Drosophila melanogaster: one gene and its partners. The protein of the gene in region 4 interacts with the protein of the main gene of each other region in a pairwise test. Each region holds a gene or a part of one and is shown on either strand. Other genes may lie near its edges. The genes, in order: CROT, fmt, Hr38 and CG10654.

Region 1 (5,733 bases), on a different chromosome or scaffold from region 4:
CCGAAGGAGCCAAATGAGGCGTGATCTTGTCAGCATTCTCGTGGGCCACCCGGCGCTTCTGCAGAGCCGCCGTGGCTGCCTCGGTGAAGGTATCAATGTCCGGAGAAGGAGCTTTGCGCTTGCGAGAACTCTCCGGGTTGGCATTGCCGCCTTCGTCCTTGTGCATCTGCGCAAATTTTTTTTCCATCTCGTCAAAAATCATTTCACACTGGCGTACAATTTCTCCTTCCGAGGTGTCTGCTTCAAAATCAAAGTCCATGTCATCCAGATCATCCATAGGTTCTGCTGGTGTCAGTACAGCTGCTTCAGTATCCTTATCCGCCTCCGGTTCGCTCTTTGAAGTGCCAGCGCTTTTGCTGGAAGACGAGCTCCTCTTAGTTTTGGACCGTGAACTCGAGGAACTAGATTTGTGATGATGGCTCTTCGAGGAGGATGATGAAGAACTGCTCTTGTGCCTGCTACTGGAACTTTTGTCGTCGCGGTGCTTATCGCTGCTGGATGACTTTTTGCTGGAAGAGGAGCTAGATGAAGACTTGTGCTTAGAGGAACTTGAGCTTGAAGTATTTCGCTCCTTGGAGCGCTCCTTGTCGCTGTGGGAGGACTTTCGCTTATCCCTATCATTTTTTTCCTTCTCTCTGTCCCTTTCCTTGCTCTTCTCTTTGTCTTTTTCCCGGTCCCGGTCCCGGTCCCGATCCCTGTCTTTGATCTTTTCCCTTTTCAGCTCTCTGATCTTCTTCTTTTCTATATCCCTTTCCCGCTCCTTGCTGGGCTTTCGATCCTTTTCGTGGCTATCCCTAGCATCCGTCAGTTGCGTATTCTCCTGGTCCTCCTCGTTTTCAGCTACCGTATCTATCTTCTGTTCTTCGTCGTTATTCTGGACTTGCTCCTCAATCTCCACCTGCATCTGCTCATCAATTTCCTTTTCGAGTACCGCCTGCCAATCGTCATATTCTTCGCCATTTGTAACAGATGGCTGGCCGGGCACATATTTGGGAGCACTGTCCACGGACGCCTCCTGCTTCTTCTTAGCCGGCGATGCGTCAAGAGCCGGCTTCTCCGGGTGGTACTCCAGATTGGACTTCTTCCGGGGCGCACATAGCGTGATCTGGGGCAGTGGAAGGGAGAGCAACTTGGGTGCCGGCTTGTACTTGGGCACGGGGGAAGGTTCTGCAGGTGGAGCGGCCTCCAATTCGTCTGTAAACCGAGAGTGGATAGAATTTGTTGCGAAATTAACTGGACGTAATTCACTCACCTTTGCGAGCATGCTTAAAGTGGCAAAAGGGGCGCTTGCAGGACGCCGCATCCTGGCCGTCAAAGTAAGGGCACAAGAAGCCCTTAAAGAGACCCGTGGATGGCAGCATTTCCACCTCTTGCTGGGATTAGAAATTTAATAAAGCCGCTTGAGAAAACAAGCGTCCCAAATTTCTTTCTATTCTTTCTGCCTGTCTCTTTCACTCATTTCGACAGATGTCAGCTGTTTCAGCTGCTGGCGGCGTTGCCAGATAGGCGTCAGCATGGATGCTATGAATGGATGCTAAGGAATTAAATTAAATAAATTTAAATAAGTTTTAAATATTTACAAAACATTGAATGACCTATTTAATTAATAATTGTAAACAATATTCGCATTTTGTTAACGGTTACAATGTACGTTTATGGCAGTTGATTGCATCAATCCGGGAGGATTATATCTTGCGGTACGATGTACAATGCTATGCGATGTTAATAAGAATAAGATGTACGTAATAAGAATGTGGTGACTAACGGTATAAACAAATGGTGTAAAAAGTCTGGCAACTCCTGCAAACAGCTGTTTGCTGTGCCAATTTCCTATAGGGTCTTCGCCGCTTGTAAACAAAAACGCAGCAGTATAATAATAAAAATAATTGTTTAACCTATAAAATTGTTTGCTTATCTAGCCTAATGAACTTGATAGCTGCGGAACCGTTTTAATTTCGATCGAGTGCATCGCAAACTGAAGTTCGGGCGCGACATTCAACTGCCGCCTCATCGAAGGTTTGTGTGGGTGTGTCTGCTGGAATATGTTATTAAAAAAGAAATTCATATAGAAATTCAAATGAAACCGGCCATTATCGGTGGCCGACTGTCTGCAATAGCAATGATTAGGGTGATATATTATCGCACTGAGTCAGTGGACGCGGGTGGCGGATCCCACGGTGCGATAATTCAAGTGCTCCCCCTCCGGCAAGGTTTGCTGTGATATGGAACCAACCTATGGATTCAGTCGTATAACGGCAGTCTGGCGCTTCAGTTGTCTCCGGCAAAAGTGAATTCCCCATCGAGTACAAAGGTCAGTGGGCTAGAAATTCGCCTATGATTTCACCAGTGCGCCGGGAGTATAAATATTTATAAAGCTCCCCAATCCGGACTTTGTCCAGCTTGAGGAGATTAGTGAAGATAGTCGTCTAGCTGCAGTCCAAGAAAGATTACGTTCAACTTGACGCATAATCCGCTTAGTTGCACATTAAGTGTTCTTAGTTGTGTGGTATTAATTTGCACACCATTTTAATGTTTAACCTATAAGATGAGATCAATTTATTTCCGATGTGAATGTACTCAGTAATGTATTGGGTGAACTTTGGACCTGACGAACGTAAAAGCGATTCCCGATATGATTATTGTACTAATCTGACTTAGGCCTATAGAAAACCACCACACGCGCAGACTGATATCAACGATTCCAACGTGTCCCCCGCAGCTAAACCACCATGGACCGGGCTAGTCTATATTTTATGAGCAAGGATGATAAGAACACCTTCGACTTCGACGAGACCTTACCTTCGCTCCCGCTGCCGGAGCTTAGGGACACCATGGAGCGCTACTACAGCTGCATCCAGCCATTCGGGACCAAGGAGGAGTTGGCCCAGGCCCGCAAGACTATTGATGAGTTCCAAAACGGAGTGGGAGCCCAGCTGCACGAACAGCTCAAGAAGCGGGCGGCCGGCATGAGGAACTGGCTGGGCACCTGGTGGGAGGACTACGGATATCACCTGATTCGGATGCCGCTGCTGCCCTACCAGCTCATGGTCATGCCCTCGCAATTGGAAATGGTGGGCGTGCCGGAGACACCGGAGTACATGCTGAAGGTGAGTGGACCCACACCCCAAGCTCTATAAGAACACAAAGTTTAAGATTGCCTAATTGACTGTATAATTTTCGAAGAGTCTGGCGCGCCACATTCACCACTCGCTGGAGTTTTGGGATCTGACTAGAAAGTCCAGCATCAAACCGCTCTCCTCGAACGGCGGTAAAATAAAGTACTCCTCCGCGCTGTACAAGCACTTCTTCTCCACGTGCCGTGTGCCAGGCGAGGAGCAGGATCATATAGAGAAGCATTTTCTCACCAAGGATGAGGGCAAAACGCCGAGTCACATGCTTATTTCCGGCAAGGGACGTCAGTTCATCTTCGATTGTGTGCACGAGGACGACACTATCCTATCGGCTCCCGAAATCCTCGTGGCCCTGCAAAGAGTGCGCAGCATCCTCGACTACGAGCCGTTGGGCGATTGTGTGCCCACCCTGAGCCATGACGAACGCTCCACGTGGGCACGCAACCGCAACCGTTTGAGGGAAATCTCAGTTGCAAACAAGGAGACGCTGCTTCTGGTGGAGAGCGCATGTATGGAGATCTGCTGGTACGAGCAATCGCCCAAGGACTACGAGGAGTCCTGCCAGCTGGGTCTCTACGGTGATCTCCATTCCCGCTGGGCAGACCGCAGCAGCAGCATCATCGCCTTCCGCAACGGACGCTGCAACTGGACGGGTGAGCACAGCTGCTACGATGGCACGGTCAGCATAAGTTACGCCACATTCATGCAACTGAGCTTCCTGGAGGTGCCAGAGCCAGACTGGGCAGAGGCCGAAAAAGGCAATGTTTTGGAGGTCAAGGAGCTGCACTTCCAGCTGGATGATACGCTCAAGAACGAGATCAAGCGCGTGCAGAAGGATATTGATGACAGGGTAGGCAAAACGCCTTTTTCCGAAACCTGTTATTGAACTAGTTAATCCTTTTGTATGTGGTATCCTTAGGGTATTGACGTTACTGTGACCTTCACTGCGTTCGATGACTACGGCAAGGACTTTATGAAAACCCATCGACTGCATCCAGACTCCTTTGTTCAGGTGGTCATGCAGTGGGCCTACTACCAAATGCATAAAGAGTGAGTTCACCTCTGGACTAAAAAAAACAGCACTAACAACACTCCATGGATATCCAACAGAATTGCTCCCACATATGAGACTGCTCTGATGCGACAGTACTACAATGGACGAACAGAGACCCTGCGATCATGCACTTCCGCTGTGGCTGAATTCCTGAGGGCGTCATCCAACAAGCAGGTTGGCGATATGTCACTGGCCAGGGCGTTCCGTAGGGCAGTCGATGAGCACAAGCACTTCATGAACGAGGCGCGCAAGGGACACGGCATCGATAGGCACTTGTTTGGCCTGTGGTGCGCGGCGTATGAAAGCAAAATGGACATTCCCGCCTTCTACGACGATCCGATGTACACCAAGAGCGGCGGAGGAGGTAACTTTGTGCTCTCGTCCAGCACGCTGGGCTTCACGGCCAACGTTGGTTTCGTGGCGCCCATGGTCTTCGATGGCTATGGCGTCTTTTACTCCATCACCTCGGAAGCGTAAGCTAGACACTCCTCCATTATCTTGAATTGTTCTTTAATTTCGTACATTCTAGTGTGTTCATTAATACCACCGCCTATCGGGATAGCCTAAAGACAAGCGCTCGCAAGTTCAACGACATTTTCAAGGACTCATTCCGCCGCATCAGCGTTCTCCTGGAACAATTGGCCAAGGAATCCAAGCTATGAAAAGCTCATCTAGTATTAAGAAAAGATCTAATCTTACTTTATGTCGTCATTGAAATTCAGTTCTCATTTTTAGTTCCAATCAGAAAGTAGATTTTTGGTTTTTCTTTCCATTTTGTTTCAATTAGCACAATTACCTAGATTTTAACGAACAGTCGAATTTAAATATTTTTTATTTGAAATTGGATCCCTAGTTCAACCCACCTTTCACCGGAAACTAAGTGAAAACGCAGACTTCGTTGGTAGTTTGTAGTTTGACAGAAAGGGTGTGCAGCATTTGTAACTTCGTGTTAAACGTTTATTTAAATTCAATGATCGATTAGTTTTTGCAAATACATTTCTCTCGGTAATTCTTGTGTTTCAATTCTAAAATGCGGCTAAATAAGCTAAGCGCCCAGCCGCTTCAATACGTTAGCCGGCCCTAGATACTACGTACAAATTAATTGGAGCTTGCGCCGGATTACAATATATATATATATAATCGTCTATATACGAAAACTTTTCGTTAGTAATTTCGATTATCTGGGAGCTAAATGCTAATTACAAGTGGTTCTCACTGCGTTTCTTTATTTATGCAGTACTTTTTGAGTCGCAGACCCAAGGACAGAATGGGGGAAAAAAAATCGTATGAGTTGAGTTAGGAGCTGGGCTGTCCGCACTAGTGCGGCGGGGGCGGAGGTCGATAGTAGCCAGCGTGCGGCTGCAGCATTGAGTAGCCGGAGGAGGGCGGCGGCGCTATCCGTTGGCCTCGTCTCTGCTGCTGCTGTGGCGGCAAGCCGGCGTACGCCTGCACTCATTCCTGCCCAGTGGCCGGAACTGGCTGAAGGTTCTGCTCGGCAGCCGGTGGAGTGGCTGCCGCCTCTTCCTTTGTTCCCCCACCTGGAGTTGC
Region 2 (6,582 bases), 6.3 Mb from region 4:
CCAAGCAAACGCGCCACCAGTTTACCATTAAAAGTGGAGAGTTGGGACGCATGTACCTTTGTTGGTGGCGCATCTGGCGGTCCGACTTAAAGTCCGTCGTATGGTATATTTCGTTACGCAGAATCGTATAGTCGGTAAGGACGACATCGTACTGGGCCAGATCGAAAGGACTAACCCAGAAGGTTGAGTGTAGGCCGAAATAAAGGAGCACCTTAAGCGATGGCGATATATGCTTGTGTATCTCTTCGAACCACTGCATCTTGATGGCGTTCGGAGATACAATGATGGTAGCGCCGCTCTCAACAAGCCTTTCGCCAGACTTTACCAATTCGGACCAGCAGCTGGGACACAGGTGGGGTAAGTCTGATTTTTCTGAAATAGTCATGCACATTTCGTGTTGCCACCGACGGCATTTGGTGCACTGCACTCGTTTACCGTGTTTCTTGGTGCAGATGCAGAAAACCTCGTCTTTTTTACTTATACGTGACCGCTTTAATGGCACTTCATCGGAAAACTCCTCGAGGCGTTGGTGCCAGTAATCGTTTCGGTAGGAGTCTTGTGGGCGCGGATTCATCAGCAGCATGGCCAGGAACTCCACGGTCTTGCCCAGGCCCATCTCGTCGGCCAGAATGCCACCCGGCGGCAACGAGATTTTGGGAATCTCCTCCTCGAAAGGATAAAATTGTAAGCAGTATTTATGCTTAAAGACGCGAGTTATACCATCAATGGCATGGAGCACTATGAAGTTGGCCGGCACTTGAGTTATCTGCTGCTCCCGCCCCAGCATCCAAGATACTGTGCGCTGCTGGTACTTGCGTAGCTGAGATTGAAATCTTTTCGGCAGGTCTAGCGAACGTTCCTGTTCAACATGAACGGTCTGGCGGTGCTTTTCGTAGAGGGCGTCGTACAACTTGGTGGTTACATATGTTTTTAAGGGACGCTTGTGCTCCTTCTCCTGCTGGGCCACCTCGAACTCGAGACTGCCTCTGAAGTCTTTAAAGAAAAGGGGCAGAACTTGTTCTCCCACTTCCATCTCGATCTCACGTGCTCGAACATGCGTCTGTTCATGGCTTAGCACCAGGATGCAGGAGCCCGACTCCTGCCGAATGGATCTGAACTTCAGCTTTCTCGTCCGAGCATTCTGGCCTGAAATATTTTCTTATTAATAAGTGCAATTATAGTACGTTAGCCTACACACATTTTTCAATACAAATCAAAATCTCCTCTTTATGCTCAACGAGATTATCTTTGAACACCCATCGCTTCTTTCCGTAGCGGAACTCCGTTGGATCCTCGGGACTTTCTGGAGGTACTTCATCAGCAATTTCGCACAAAACAACGCCATCCATTGTTATTTGCGAAATAACAATTCGGACAAACAAATGTGCGATGACCGCCAATTCGATATACGATAACAGAAAAATCTATATCGGACACCAAATGACACACCTCCACAGCTTAAATTTAACGATTGCAACAGGGGAATCTTTATGTTCTCTAGAAAGCAAAACATTTTCGGTAAGTTATCAAATAGCAACTCAGGCAAAAATGAAAAGAAAGAAAACCATTTAAAAAGAAAACCAATTAAAGAAATATATTTATAATAAAGAACTGTATTTAAATCATAAAACATAATTGTATGTAGTTTAGTTTCTACAATATGTGCAGCGGTTATCGTGTGAACAAGTTGAAAAATGACAATCGATAACCGATTGTGTGAGGACACGGTCGATCGGCCGCATATATCACACTGAGTTAATATACCCTGTAATCGAATATTGTCCACCTCTACGAAGCAGTGAAGAAAATTATAGCGTGGTTTTTTCGGTTGAAAACCAATCAAAAGTGCAACAAACAGTGAGCAAAACAAAGTCCAGCCAACTCGTAAGTGTGCGCCCAAGCATCCCGCAACCCTTGCAATCTCAAACGACCGGCATACAACCATTTTTCGACCCGCATTCGTAGTGTATATGTGGAGCCTGCTTGGCATAATTACAAAAATTTACGCATTACTTTGTGAGAGCCGAGTGTTGAGCTGAGTCTAGTCTGTGTTCAGTGTATTAATTGCGCTATTCCGCTTATCCAAATCTCCAATCCCGTCCCGCAGAGCCGTGCATGCCAAGTCATCAGCGTTCCGCGAGTCCAGCGAAGATTGATCTTGTTTCCCCCAGACTGAAAGTGTCACCGCCAAGACGTACGTGCGAAAAATGTTTTGGGACAAGGGTTATGCGCCCTCCGCGAATATAGAGGCGCTGCTCGAGAAGGAGGTAGGTTGACTCGATCCGTGCTGATCAAGTGGAAATGTCTCAGTTACGCGTCGTCGCCATTCGCAGAACTCCACACTGGAGGAATTTCTGGACGAGGAGGACATACTGCAGGAGTGCAAGACGCAAAAGAAGAACCTGGTCAACTACTTTACACGTCCCGAGGTCATACGGCGTCTGGTGGAGCTGATCACGACCGAGCCCTCTGAAGATGTGCCCATGTCGAAGCGTTTCCGCTATGCCAACATGTCCTGTGAGATACTCACACTGTAAGAATTGAATGCCCGTTGCCATCCAGAATTCTATAGCCCATGCCATTTTAGCGGCCTGCCGTCCCTGGATGAGAAGCTACTGAACGACGCGGAGACGCTGCAGCTGCTGTATTCATATCTGGAAAAGGAACCACCGTTAAATCCATTGCTATCGTCGTTTTTTAGCAAAACGTTTAGCATGCTCTTTACCAAAAAGCCTGAACAAGATTGGTTTTTGTATCAACACATGTGCCTACAACTCCTGGAGTATATTAAATCGCAGAAGACCTTTTTGGATTTCATTTGTAAACACTTTGACACACCGGTCATACCTGATCTAATAATGCAGATGATGAAGGACATCGAGGGTGGGCGACTTAAGCGGAACCTTTTCGAAGTAAGTCCATTAGAGAGTTTTGCCTAGGCATACGAATCTTATCGAATATTTCTTTTAACAGTGGCTAACTGAAGATAAAATTGTTGAGAGACTGATTGCAATATTGCGTAATCCTCAAGAAACCGACAAACATGCAAATGTTGCCGACTTTTTCTGTGATCTTATTAACCAAGGGCGTCTAATGCGCCAGACCGAGCAGGAGAACGATTCGTTTGAGCCGGCCTTCGATGGATCCAACCCCATTCTGAAGACGATCGAATTTGCGGACACAATTGAAGCCTTGTTAAATGTGATTTTGGAACCAAACGCTCAGGAGAGCGCCATCTTATCAGGAATATCGGTTGTACTTACGCTAATCAAGCCAATTACCTTCACGTAAGTTATGCTGCCAGTGAATTTGTCACCTTATTCTAATTGATTTACATTTTTTCCTGTAGAGATGAGCCCAACTCGGATCGCCAGCGGTTGTTGCAAAAGCGCGAACGCGAAATCCACCAGGAAGTCCAGGAGACTGTGATCACTGTGATGGCGCCACGCCTCCAGGAATTTGTCCACATACTGAAAAACCCGCCTGCGGTTAGCATGAAACTTTTTGTCACAAAGAACCAGCTGTTTATCTTTTGACTTGTAGAAACCCACACTAGAAACCACGGCCGCCGTGTTAACGCCCCCATTTGGAAAGACTCGACTGCAAGTTTGTCGCGTGTTCACCGCTCTGCTGGAGACCAAGCATGAGACTATTCAGCAGGCGTAAGTCACTGCTTTATAGAAAGGAGAACTTTTAATAAATAATAACTTTTTATACTTTAGAATCTGCGCGACTGAGTACTTCAGCCTGTTGCTGGACTTTTTCAAGCAGTACTGCTGGAACAACTTCCTGCACACAGAAATGGAGAAGGCACTGTACGTGGTCTTTTACAACGAGCTGTCCAACAACAACACTGCATCCACGGAGGTCACGGATTACTTCACTGCAGACTGCCTGATCAATGCCTTTTTGAAGGTGGGCACGGAGGAGTCCGAAGTCGAGATGAAGAACGCTCTTAACGATGCGAAGCGCGCGGAAGGTGGCAAGGATGAGGAAGGGGGCGACATCGAAATCGAAGTGGCAGCTGCGCAGGAAGTGGCTGCCCAGACGCCCGATGAGCGACAGACAGCCGCAGAAGAAAACCAAGAGCATGAAGAACATATGAGCCAAGTGGAAGCCGCAGCTGAAGCAACAGCTTCTGAGGACGCCGAACCCAAAGCCCAGGATAATGAAGTGAAAAATAGTGAGGTGGATGGTGAATCTCCAACAGATCAGCAAGAATCGGAGGCAACGCTCAATGATCTCGACAAGACCAAGACCGTTCCGAGCCCTCCGCCTTCTGAAATGCAATCACATGTAAGTCTTAGTTGACTTTTGTACCCAACTAAACTTAATTCTCGCTGATTTGCAGTTAATTGTAAACTGTCATCTGATATCCAAACTGGTCGACTTGTGGCAGCACAATGCGCAGGCGCAGTAAGTACTTCAATTGACTAATTATCAGTCTGGCACATAACAAATGTTCTTTTTTTAGATCTGCTGAGAAGGGTCGACGTTTGGGCTATATGGGCCACCTTATTAAAATTCTTCGTCACATTACGAATTGTATATCAGAATCTGAACATATCGGTGATCTGATCACCAGCAGCCTAAGTGATGAAGATGAGGTTAAGCTGTGGCAATCGTTGATCGATGCGGAAACTGGCGAGTTTTCGCTGGCGGTTAAACAGCAGACCAAGCTCCTGGCCGACTGCAATCCTCACGAGGAGAATCAGTACAATGATGGATCCAATGACTATACTGGCGAGATAAATGCGTGGAACGTTGGTAATCTGCCGTACAGAGAAGTGGATTGTAGTGAGCTGAATAACACGTTGCAAGACATCTTCTTTGCCATAGATCAGAATCGGTTCCAGTTTGGTCGAAACATTGACGACGAAGATGATGACGATGATGAGCATGGCGACCATTCAGGCGGTGGTGATGGCCACGGGCACGGCATGTTCACCAAAAATTCGAACACGCTGAACAACTTGGCTGACCCTTGGGACATCCAGTTTGCCGTGCTTTCCAGCGCGCCTACGCAGGTTAACACGGGCACTGCCAACTGGGGCACGGATTTCAATTCGGATAACTTTGCTGATTTCGATGCGCACTTTAGCACATTTGGCAGCGATCTTGGTATGCCCATAAGTGCGCCGCCAGGTGAAGAGGAAGAGGAGGACTCTTCCCCAGCGCCGGAATCCGCCACACAGGTGAACCCAGAAGAGGAGCGCCAACCCGCTGAATCTATTGGCCTCGCTGTGGGCAAGGGCGTTCAGGATAATCTAGCGTGTACCGACGATCAGCAGGCTGAGTACGACAATAATGCCAACGTGGAGAAGGCCATCAGCGATAAGCTGGCCGAGTCGAGCGTGGTGGAGACTGCAGCAATTGTTACTCGATTGCAATCCGTACTGCTGGACGGCGAGGATGATTATGAGGACGATGAGGGAATGTGGACCAAGCCACTGGGTGCGGATCGTCCTTCGGAGACCGAGCAAATTACTCCCATTTCAAATGGACCAGACAGCAAAGTGAATGAATTGTAAGTTAACCCTTTTGCACGTGGGTATGTAAATATGTATATATGAAATGTTTATACTTTTAATCTATTTAAAATGCCAAACAAGTTTACACCTATGCAATGTATTGGTTTGTAGCTCAATTTTTTGTTTTACCATTTATTACTTAAATACATTGCACTTGTAATTAAAACCAGGGGTTTACCTTTCAGCAATCATGCCAACGATATCAGCAGTAACAACGTGGATGGCCACGAAGCCAACATCACAACGGAGCAGCAGAAATTGGCCGCTGCCGCCAAGACGAACAATGTTGAAATTGCAACTACGACCACATAAATGCACTTCCTCACCACACCATACATCATTCAAGCGATATTGTGTCGACGAGAAATTGTAAAAACGCCTTTGATTTGCTCTTTGGTCATTATCATGCATACATATTTATATAAATATATACCACATACTACTACTATACGTACATATATAACAGGCTGCATAGTACAACAAAAGATTTGTGTATTAGCAAAAGGCCGAAACCCGCCCAAAACCAAAATGCAAATTATCAAACAAAAAAAAAAAAAAAAAAAAAAAAAAAAAAAAAAAATAGCATCAAAAAAATATCAAAAAGCTAAAAAAAAATATTCACAGTAAAAAGTGTATTGTTGATTCCTTCTGCTCCTCGCTCGTATTGCCAATTATTTTAATTATTACACTTTCTTCATGTTTCCTAATTAAGAAAACTGTATTTTGTTTGTAATATGTATTAGTCTGTCGATTTAGTACGCTTTTACTTTCAATACTCTCAATGTGTTAGGCAACCTATGAGCATTACTTAAAGTACCAAAATTCACGCAACGTTTAGAATGCTTAGTTTATATTTGTATTGTATTCGTTTTAGCTCGATCAGATGAGGATTATCTATCTATTCATATGATATATGTATGTATATACATATATATATATATATATATATATATATACACTTTTGGAGCTGTCAGTAAATTACGTTATCGCAAAGTCGTACGTTATCGTCCTCCTATTGTGGGGAATCCCCTCCAATTAGTGGTGACGTAAT
Region 3 (4,695 bases), on a different chromosome or scaffold from region 4:
CGTCGCCGCCGCAAAGACGAGTCTGCGGATCCCGAAGATTTGGATTTGGGTTCGGGTGCCGAGCGCCAAGACTCTCACTCTCTGTGCAGTCGACGCTGGCAGCGCGGTCGACGCCGCGTCTTCGGGTTTACCGTTCTCTAGTCGTGTGTCGCCGATCTTGGGAGAGAAGATTTGTACTGGCTTTGCGTTATTATTGTTTTCCTCGTTGTTGTTTACGAGCTGCAAACGCCGGTGTCAATGGTAAAGTGCATTAATATTCCCGCTTTTCCGACGGCTCGCGGGGCGGGAAAATCGCTCGGATCGTGTTATTGCCAGTTATATCGGCCAAATGATTTGTGGCGCAGCTTATTTATATTTGGGGATGAGGAAAGAGTGATCTGGTTTATGAAGTGGCAGGATGGTATTTTGTTAAGTGGAAAAGCGAAATTGGCCTGGGATCTTGTGTGAAATCGATTTGTCTTAGCACTTGGAGTGAAATAGGGAATAAAAGCGGGTAACTGAGATAAATATAAAATCGTGATTTAAGTTGAAAGGAAAACCAGACTCATTTCTAGGCTAAAAGTCCGTTTTGCATATCAATTTCAATTTGAAATATTTATAGCATAATTATAAATTATATTATATAGCATAAATATAAACCAAATTCAAAAGTAGTAAATCACTATAAATAGAATATTGAATTCTTGCCATATGATACTTGTTATTCTTTTCGAAATTTCTATCTTCCTATTTAACATGATAGCTTTACTTTTCCACCCACGCTCACCATCATGGGATTGACTCACATAAACATATTCCTCGAAATCTGGTCCATTTTCCTTTGCTTTGAATACACCCACACACACGAGAGCAAGGAAGTCCTTTCCACCAAAACGACACCACAGAATGCCCACACAGACTTAGTACACTGAGAAGAATATGTAGTTTAAGACAAACAATAAAAAAACAAACAACATTAAAAACATGCTTTTTATAAATGCATTAGAGTACAGTCTACACATGGAAAAGAGATTGATATTTAAAGACAAGTGTGTAGATGATGTACAATGTGCATAAGGGAATATTCCTACAAATTGTACGTCCTTATATATCCTGAAATTAATAAACATGTTTCCTGTGTACGATAACTGAGAGAAACGGAAGTTTTGGCAGCAGGCGAGAAGTGGATACCCAGTGGGCGGTTGGAAAAGCGGAAAAGTGGGTGGCGGAGTGGTAAGCCGGAGCAGGTGAAACGGCACCAAGAGCCCCAATCAATCTCAGATGCGAGCAAAAGGGATGGCCAACGTCGGTTTTATGACGCACATAATTTCCGCTTCCGAACTGTCCCACTGGACTGCATTCGGAAAATCGGTCGCTGAAAATGGGTGGAGGGGATTTTCCGGCGCAGGCGCTCTGCCAACGACGTCATCGATTTTCCTCGCACGAGCTGCGCTCAGTTGTTGGCCCCAAATGACGTAATAGCCGGGCCGCAAAGGTAGGTCGTGTCCCGCTCGCTTGCCGTCGCCCCTCCCTCTCCATCGCACACTCACTCTCGCTCTCACTCGCTCTCGCGAGCGCAGCACGGCGCCAGCTGAGGCAGCGCTGTCGACGCGACGCGTTGAATATAGTCGCGTGTAACCGTAAAGATAAGTTCAGTCGCGTCACAGACGCCGCATTGTTAACAACTTTAGCCCAAACAGCCACCGCTCACGGAAAAGCCAATACAAAATATAGAACTTATATCGAGGCGAGCTCGATGGTTCTGAATTTCCGATCTTAAGTCAGCCAACTAAGACTTTAATCCACACAACTATATAAACATCGCGTTCAGTATTAACGAAACACAAAGCCAACATAGGTGTGAGTGCTCAAGAGTTAAACAATTGCAACAAGTTGTTGTTCTTTATCGATTCGTGCATTCGTTCTATGCGGAAACGGAAGCCGGTCGACAGCGCGGCGTATGCGTAATAACTTCCAACGGTTGACAACGCGGCGTATACTTCACCTTTACCTTTCTTAAGCGAACAATGCATATATTTCGGTGGGCAACGCTGCGTATGTTTGTTTAATCTATCTTACCCCGCTGCGAATGTGCAGTAAATTAATCTATAGTAATTCAAATTTCGTTTCATTTCTGAGAGACAAGACACAGATATTTTTGAACTGAAAGTTTTGCTAACATTTTAACGAGCACGTGAGCTGAAGAACAGTAGTAATTGTTTTTGTGTTGCCCATTGCGCGCGTGTGTGTATCAGTGTGTAAAGTGTAAGCAACGTCCTTGTGCCTCCCACTACTGCAACTACCACAACCGAATATATATGTATATGTATATAGAGACCCCAGTTGATATAGTATAGCGTGCGTAAGTCGTTACGTCGCTTACATCGTCACTTGGCCACTGCGCAAACGCCGGAAAAAAGGAAAGGCAACAAGAAAAAAGCCAAAAAAAAAAGGAGGCAAGTTCAAGTCTAAGGACACACAACAAAAACAACAGCCGGGCAAGGACAGAAAAATGAAGCCCGATAATAACTACTGCAATCAGAGCTACTGCGACAAAAGCTTCGGCCACTCCTGCCGCAGCCAAGAAAATTGAGGCAAAATCCCAGCCCAACTCGGAACAGTCGTGCTGGATCACCAGCGCCGCTCGGGGCGCCAAACAGGTGCCTATTTAGAAACCATATAGTGTGTGATCTGTGTTGTCCCGTCCTGTGTGCGTTTTATGTTTGTGTCCCATCATCACCATCAACATCATTGTTAATTTTGGGTTCTTTAACGGAGAATCGTGGTCTATGATGCGCGATCGGCTTGCCTCGCTGATTGTGGTGAAGCAAGAGGGCGGCAGCAACACGAGCATTAGCCACCACCAGGCAACGGCCATTAAGTGCGAGGCCTCACTGTACACCGAGAGCAGTTTGTTCCAGGAGATCAACAACAACTCCTGCTACAGACAGAACCTCAATGCCCCGACACACCAGCAGTCACACACATCACACCTGCAACACGCACAGCAGCACCAAACACACCAGCAACATCCCCTCTTGCCGCCGCCTCTGCCGACTCTGCCTTTGATTTACCCCTGCCGCAACCTCTTTCCCGACGGTTGCGATATCAATCACCTGGCCTGCTGCAGTTCCTCCAACTCCAACTCCAACTGCAACTCAGACTCGAACTCCACCTCCAGCTCACCCGGCAACAGCCACTTTTTTGCCAATGGAAACACATGTATGTATTTGGTTTTCCCTTTCGGCTTATCGGTGTTGGTGACTTTTTCGTTTTTTGTTTTTTTGTATTTTCCAAACTCAAACGCCGCTGTGGTGTTTTCTTCTAATTCGCTAATAGCACACGCGGCGTATACGCAATGTGCAGCGCGCATTGCCAAATCGGCCAAGAAGCTAACTGTTTGCTCAATCCGTTTGAGAAGGCAGGTCGGGAAAAAATCTGAAAAATGCAACTTGAATAAAAAAGGGGGCGTGGCTGGTGGGGGTAGGTTGGACAACGCACAATGACGACATAAATTTGCATGAAAACTGCTCAAAATGCATCATAAAAATGGTGAAAATATTAAGCTTCCATTCGCAAAATACGAGAGCAACCACAGTAGAGGTCAAGAAAATGAGGCAGAGAACTTTAAAAATTCTTGGATTATGATTCAAAAATGATTTAACAATTAAAAAGTTTAAGCATTTGGAGTACTATTAAAGGCAGCTCTAAAAATGTTCGGTATAGTTTTTTTTTAAGCACATCAGAATTAGTTTCAAGCTATCATTTGCATTAAAAATTGTATGCTATGAAATTTAGTGCATTAATAAAATTAATTGTATAGTTACATCAGAATTAGTTTCAAGCTATCATTTGCATTAAAAATTGTATGCTATGAAATTTAGTGCATTTGCATAAAATTAATTGAGGCAACTATACCGAACTGTAAAGACGGGCTTAAATCAATTACCACCACTTTGACCTTAGTTGTGTGTGCAGACCCGTCTTGGCTCTCGGTGAGCATGTGCTGCTGTTTTTGGTGTCGTACACATGTTTACCAGCGTCAGCAAAGCGCCGCAGTTTCAGCAGACGGCAGCGGACGCAGCCTGACGCAAAATGATTTACAAGCTGCACAATAAACACCGCACACAGATGCAGTGCGTCCGATTTCCACACAGATACTCACTATCGACGGCTAGGGATGGCCAATGCATTTTTATTAATAACCGCATAAAAAAAACATCGCCGATTGAAGCTCAAGCATGGGAAAGATAGATCGATCATTTCATTGCCGAGTGGGTGGTTGGTTCGGTGGGTGGTGTTAGGGCGCCCGGCGGTGGGGCATCCGATTATTGGGCTTACTAAACGGCTTGAAAGGCTTTGCCAATTCATTCGCTGCGGCAAAGTCGGTTAGCCACTTGTTAGCCGCTTCTTAAGCGACTGTATTTTGCGGCTAACTTAGCGCCCATTAAGTGTTTCCCAGCAATCAGCTTTTAAGCACTCTGCGGTTAGCGTTTTCAACTGCAAGTGGGCCATGTGAGCCTTCAATTCACAGGAATCTACTATATGCACATTCTAAATTGATTTAATTGTCAATATTACAGAATGATTATCATGCGCTACATATGGATAGGTATCCTTTCGATAGTCTTCGGATAGGTTTTTTGAAACAACTACCCAAGTAGAAAATTAGTTTCTATGGTGAAATGCAGTTAAACACTAAACCGAGGGTTGCCA
Region 4 (4,813 bases):
ATGCAAGGAGTGCAAAGATGTTACGCATCGCAAGTGTCGCTCCAATGTTCAGAGCCATTGCGGATCCACCAAGCCGACTGCACCGTCAGCCGATGATCTTAGCAGTATTCAATCTGTCTCCAGCTTGACTTTGGATAGCGTAGATGTTGCGGGTGGTACAACCAGCGGTGGCGAGTACATTGGATCGCTGGTCTACAGTTCGGATGGTGCAGAAGATCAGGCACGGAAGGAGATCGAAGTGAACTGCGCCTTTGAAGTGGCCGAGCAGCAAATACTCCTATTGGGCTGTAACACGGGACTGTATGCGTATCACTTGGACTCGCAGCGATTGGTGCACATTTCTGGTCTCGAATCGGTGAGCTGCATGTCCATTTGCAAGCGCCTGGCTAAGGCTATAATGGTGGGCACAGTTGGCGAGAAGCTATATCAATGTGACTACCGCCAGCTGGAGTCACGCTGTCAGAGCTCCAGTTCGTGTCACAAGCCTGTGCTGGAAACGTCGGCCATTGAGCTGCCATTTGCCAATCGCACGCCATCGGAGAAATGGAAACTAGTGCTGATCTCCGATGAGGCGGAGAACGCATTGGATTCGGTGGCTATTGCGGCCACGTCCACTAGGATTGTCATCTTGAAGTACGACCTTAAGCTGCACATGTTTAAGCCAGTTCGAGCCTTGGACACGGCCACGCCGGTCACATCCATATTCTTTACGCGTCACTCGGCCATTGTTAGCTCGGATAAGTTCTACGAGATCGATTTGGACAACTATGCGGCTGAGGAGTTTGTGGATCTGTCCGATAAGTCAATGGAGAGCACTGCCAAGTGCCAGCCCCTAACTGCGGTGCGCATCTCACGACAAGAGTATCTGCTCTGCTTTGCCGAATATGGCGTCTTTGTGGACGAGTTTGGCTGCAGATCCAGGCCGTACGATTTGAACTGGGTCTATGCACCCACTGGATTTGTTTACCGCGATCCATTCCTATTCATATCGCACTATCAAAGCGTGCAGATAGTCCGTTTGCATCGGTCGTTCAGCAAGGAAATGGCCAGCGGGGATAACGCATCGGAGAATTCGGAATCCCCGGAACTGCAGCGCGTCTACTTGCCCCACTACATGTCCACGCTGCTGGCCAACAGCGGAGATGTCAATCTCTATGCCGTGGCCATCGATCAGAGGCCCTGCAATGGAACACAGAAGATCTACCATCTGGACACGATGCAGGCATTCAAGCAGAAGTTCAATATCTCCATGGAAACGCTGTCTTCAGTGGCCACTTCTGTGACTTTGGGCTCGACTGTCACCGGAAATAGCATATAGATGAAGGATATATATTAACTAAACGAATGGACAAAGCAAAATACTACAAACTGAGTAGTTGTAGTTATATCTAGGGTTAGGATATGCTATACATTTGGATTATTATTATTTTAACTTGTCAGAACATATGTTTTTTCACAATCTTTTTCATGTGTAACGATTGCCTAAAATCACATGGCAGAATCTTTTAAAAATTACTTAATTTACTCTTTAAATACTTTGTGCTGTATACACAAATAAAACTTGAGATTTTGATAAAAAAGGTAATTCATATTAAATTAATATATTTATTTTGATCACTAAAATATCGAAGCATATTAAAGGAAATATTTTTTAATTAATTAAAGAAGTCGCATAATATTTTAAATCAATTTTACTATGCAGGATAGCTTTTCGAATAGAATAGTTGGGGGCATGGAGTCGACGCCAAGCTTTTGGGGCTGATCCCACGCAGCTTTTCGGCAGCAGCTTTCAATGTCCCGCAATTCGAAAGCCCCGGAAATGGAATCGTGCTCTCCGCTGGCATTACTGCCATCGTTGGCTTGGCCGCTGGACGCCGGACTGCTGCACTGCCGCCGTCGCAGATTGTGTTAATTGATTTCAATTGGCTCCACGCCATTTGAGTGGCCCGTTGAATCTCCCGACGATGCCAGCAACGATGTTTGATTCCCAGCTGAGTTTGTGCGCGGGTCGCATTGTCGCCGATTCCACCACCACCACTACCTCCGGCATGGATGGATGCGATGGTGCCAAGACGATGATATGCCGCGCTTGTCTTGTGCTACTGGGTCCGCAGGATGCGTGTCACAATCTGGACAGCGAACAGGATCTGGCCAGCAAGTACTACGGCTGTACTGGAGAGGATGCCGTTAGGGATTTGCCACCCCAGTTGGTGCTGAAAAGCATCTGCGAGTGCTGCTATCAGTTGGTGCAAAAGTTCCACGACTTTCAACGCATGTGCGCAGAGTCCTTGCGCAATTTTGAGAAGCTGCTGCAGGACATCGACATCGGATGCCACAAACTGGAGGACCACACTTGGCACGACTTGGACACCCCCTCGGAGAGCAACGAGTCCACTAATCCGGAAGCCCAGTCGCACGCACCCTGCATCGCAGCGACGCAGGAGATTGTGAGTTTTATCTGGCCACAAGTGTGCCTGCCTCTGGCCGTAATCTTATCTAGAATCACATTGGGTGCTTCGCTCGAGGTGTGTTGCCTAGCAGCCAAGCAAAGACAATACTGCTCCCCATTCCCCGCCATAAACAAAAACATTTCGACAGCGTTTGTTTGTGTTGTACTATTTTTGTTTGGTGGGTGATAGCACTCGAAAAGGAGGCACGTCCCAATCTATTGGGTATTTTTAAATTTTCCACTAATAAAATTGGGAAGATGGCAACACGCCTCGATTTATGGCTCCTCCAAATAAGAAAGTCGATTTTAAAGGCCAGTTTTATCTAGAATAGATAAATGTGTTCCCTAACTTTCACTCATTTTAGATATTATTTATAGCGCCTTTAATATTTTTAGCATTAAAAAACTAAACTAAACAGATAAGTGACCGCCAAAAGTTCGGTTCACAAAATATTACTTTCATTTTATCATCTTCTAAGTCGAGCGATAAGATAATCTTAATAGCAAATTAAGGAAAAATTTCCACTTTAAAGTAATGAGTAAACATAATGTAATTCCTACCCTTACTACAAATTACTTAACTCAACCAAAAGCAGTTTGTTTTTATATGCTTAGACCCTTTTTACATAAAAAATTCCTTCATAATAGATATGTACAGAATTCCCACAAAAAAAAAAAAAAACCACCACCATTCAGTTTGCTATGGTAATTAAATATATAATACCCTAAATTTTCCAGGAGGAAGTCTACGTAATAGAGGACGAGTCAGCCAAACAGGATCTGGGCCAGGAGAAGCTATCCATTTCTAGCAAGTTGCTGGGTGCCAGAAAACGACGAGGAGTGCGACACACCCTCGAGTGCCGAATTTGCCACCGTGGCTTCTACAAACCGTCGCTGCTGGAGGCCCATATGCAGCAGCATGAGGGTCTGAGACCGTATACCTGCGTCCATTGTGCCAAGAGCTATGCCCGGGCCAATCTGCTGGAGTCGCACCTGCGGCAGATGCATAACAATGCCGACGCTGCGCGGATCATCTATGCCTGTCCGAGCTGCAACAAGGTGTACACAGCGAACCGAAGTCTCAAATATCACATGAGAAGGACGCACGAAAGGTATCACGAGTCAGAGTCCCCGGATGCGCGGCACATTTGTGAGGAGTGTGGCAAGTGCTTTGCGCGAAAGGCACATCTAACGCGCCACAAGATGGTCCATGGTAGCGTTGAGGGTCGGAGATACTGCTGCGAATGCTGCGATCGCAGATTCTACACCAAGGAGAACATGGTGGATCATCTGCTGCGCAAGCACGGCAATAAGAATCTGCTGCTCAGATGCAGAAAATGCGGACGCATTTTCCAGAACAGCGTGGAGCTCAACGCTCACGGGAGGAAACACAAAGCGATGGATGTAGTTCAATAATTCGTTTTATTTGTGGTTTCAATAACATCAAGCTAACACAACTGTTACAATGATTCGAATTACTTGGAATTTTGTTATGCCAGTATTGTGGGAGAATGCCGCATAATTGGAGATACTAAGACGACGCGAATGGTTGACGAATCGATGAGGCTGCCCTAAAATTAGCTAACATTCACATAATGGCCGGCGCAGCAGCATAGTCGCTTAAAAATCATCAGTACAAAAAAATGGCGATGGCGATGGCGCGCACTCGCAGTAGTTCTCAAAAAAGTAATCATGCGTATATAAAACAATTAACTAAAATTTATCCTTAAGCTTAAAGAACGGATGACAGTTTTAAAATTACATTACCAATACATTCATTTATCATTAATTTGTAGGGAGGAGGAAAGAAATGAGAATAAAAACCAGATTATCCGTCAATCGATCGACAATTACATAAGAAACGCACGGGGTCTTTTGCCAAATGAACTATCAGCATTGAACGTTGTTGAAATTGATCTGGTGATCCACTTAACTGATGGTACTGTGTTACGGTGGTGATTGATGATTGGTTTGTTGGTTGGCAGTAGGTCTTCGGATGAGTGGAGTTGCTTGCACTATATGTAAATAAATACGCCGCAATATGAGCATAGGATATATGACAACGAATTGCCAAACTCTAGGTGTCCTTGTGCTTCTCGTAGAAGGCGTCTAGATATTTTTTGTACTCCTTTTGGTCATTCCACATCATCGCGGCCTGCGCATTCAGTGGACTCTCGTTGTTCGGTTCGCCCAGCAGGGATTGTATGGACAGCAGAATGGTGCGCACATCGTACAGGGCCGACCATTTGTCCTTCAGTATGTCCAAACAGATGGCGCCCTGCAGATCAACATTGGGATGGAAGCAGGACGTCAGGAACTTCACCACGGGTGCTGCATACGGATAGGAATTGGGAAAATCCAGTG

What was found.
Region 1: the proteins of CG10654 (region 4) and CROT interact in a two-hybrid assay, tested with the Drosophila melanogaster proteins (one large-scale study listed by BioGRID).
Region 2: the proteins of CG10654 (region 4) and fmt interact in a two-hybrid assay, tested with the Drosophila melanogaster proteins (one large-scale study listed by BioGRID).
Region 3: the proteins of CG10654 (region 4) and Hr38 interact in a two-hybrid assay, tested with the Drosophila melanogaster proteins (one large-scale study listed by BioGRID).

The regions. Positions count from the first base shown.
Region 1 is NT_033777.3:27,702,838-27,708,570, reverse strand, and holds CROT (carnitine O-octanoyltransferase), read left to right. Parts: upstream 1-1,819; 5' UTR 1,820-2,016; intron 2,017-2,069; exon of another isoform or gene 2,070-2,506; intron 2,507-2,666; exon of another isoform or gene 2,667-2,719; 5' UTR 2,720-2,729; coding exon 2,730-3,107; intron 3,108-3,183; coding exon 3,184-3,981; intron 3,982-4,050; coding exon 4,051-4,181; intron 4,182-4,241; coding exon 4,242-4,658; intron 4,659-4,714; coding exon 4,715-4,847; 3' UTR 4,848-5,192; downstream 5,193-5,733. Other genes in the region: CG12877 (uncharacterized protein), read right to left, coding at 1-1,194, 1,253-1,361; btz (barentsz), read right to left, coding at 5,638-5,733.
Region 2 is NT_037436.4:6,169,062-6,175,643, reverse strand, and holds fmt (fiery mountain), read left to right. Parts: upstream 1-1,763; 5' UTR 1,764-1,884; intron 1,885-2,107; 5' UTR 2,108-2,207; coding exon 2,208-2,267; intron 2,268-2,333; coding exon 2,334-2,533; intron 2,534-2,587; coding exon 2,588-2,912; intron 2,913-2,973; coding exon 2,974-3,287; intron 3,288-3,349; coding exon 3,350-3,488; intron 3,489-3,543; coding exon 3,544-3,662; intron 3,663-3,722; coding exon 3,723-4,296; intron 4,297-4,351; coding exon 4,352-4,416; intron 4,417-4,474; coding exon 4,475-5,527; intron 5,528-5,701; coding exon 5,702-5,843; 3' UTR 5,844-6,075; downstream 6,076-6,582. Other genes in the region: CG7376 (uncharacterized protein), read right to left, coding at 1-1,146, 1,199-1,349.
Region 3 is NT_033779.5:20,711,543-20,716,237, reverse strand, and holds the start of Hr38 (hormone receptor-like in 38), read left to right. Parts: upstream 1-1,649; 5' UTR 1,650-2,768; coding exon 2,769-3,201; intron 3,202-3,937; exon of another isoform or gene 3,938-4,695. UniProt on the Drosophila melanogaster protein: Binds to NGFI-B response elements. Plays an important role in late stages of epidermal metamorphosis.
Region 4 is NT_037436.4:12,504,862-12,509,674, reverse strand, and holds CG10654 (uncharacterized protein), read left to right. Parts: upstream 1-1,834; 5' UTR 1,835-1,964; coding exon 1,965-2,525; intron 2,526-3,187; coding exon 3,188-3,865; 3' UTR 3,866-4,301; downstream 4,302-4,813. Other genes in the region: sti (sticky), read left to right, coding at 1-1,318; vih (vihar), read right to left, coding at 4,527-4,813.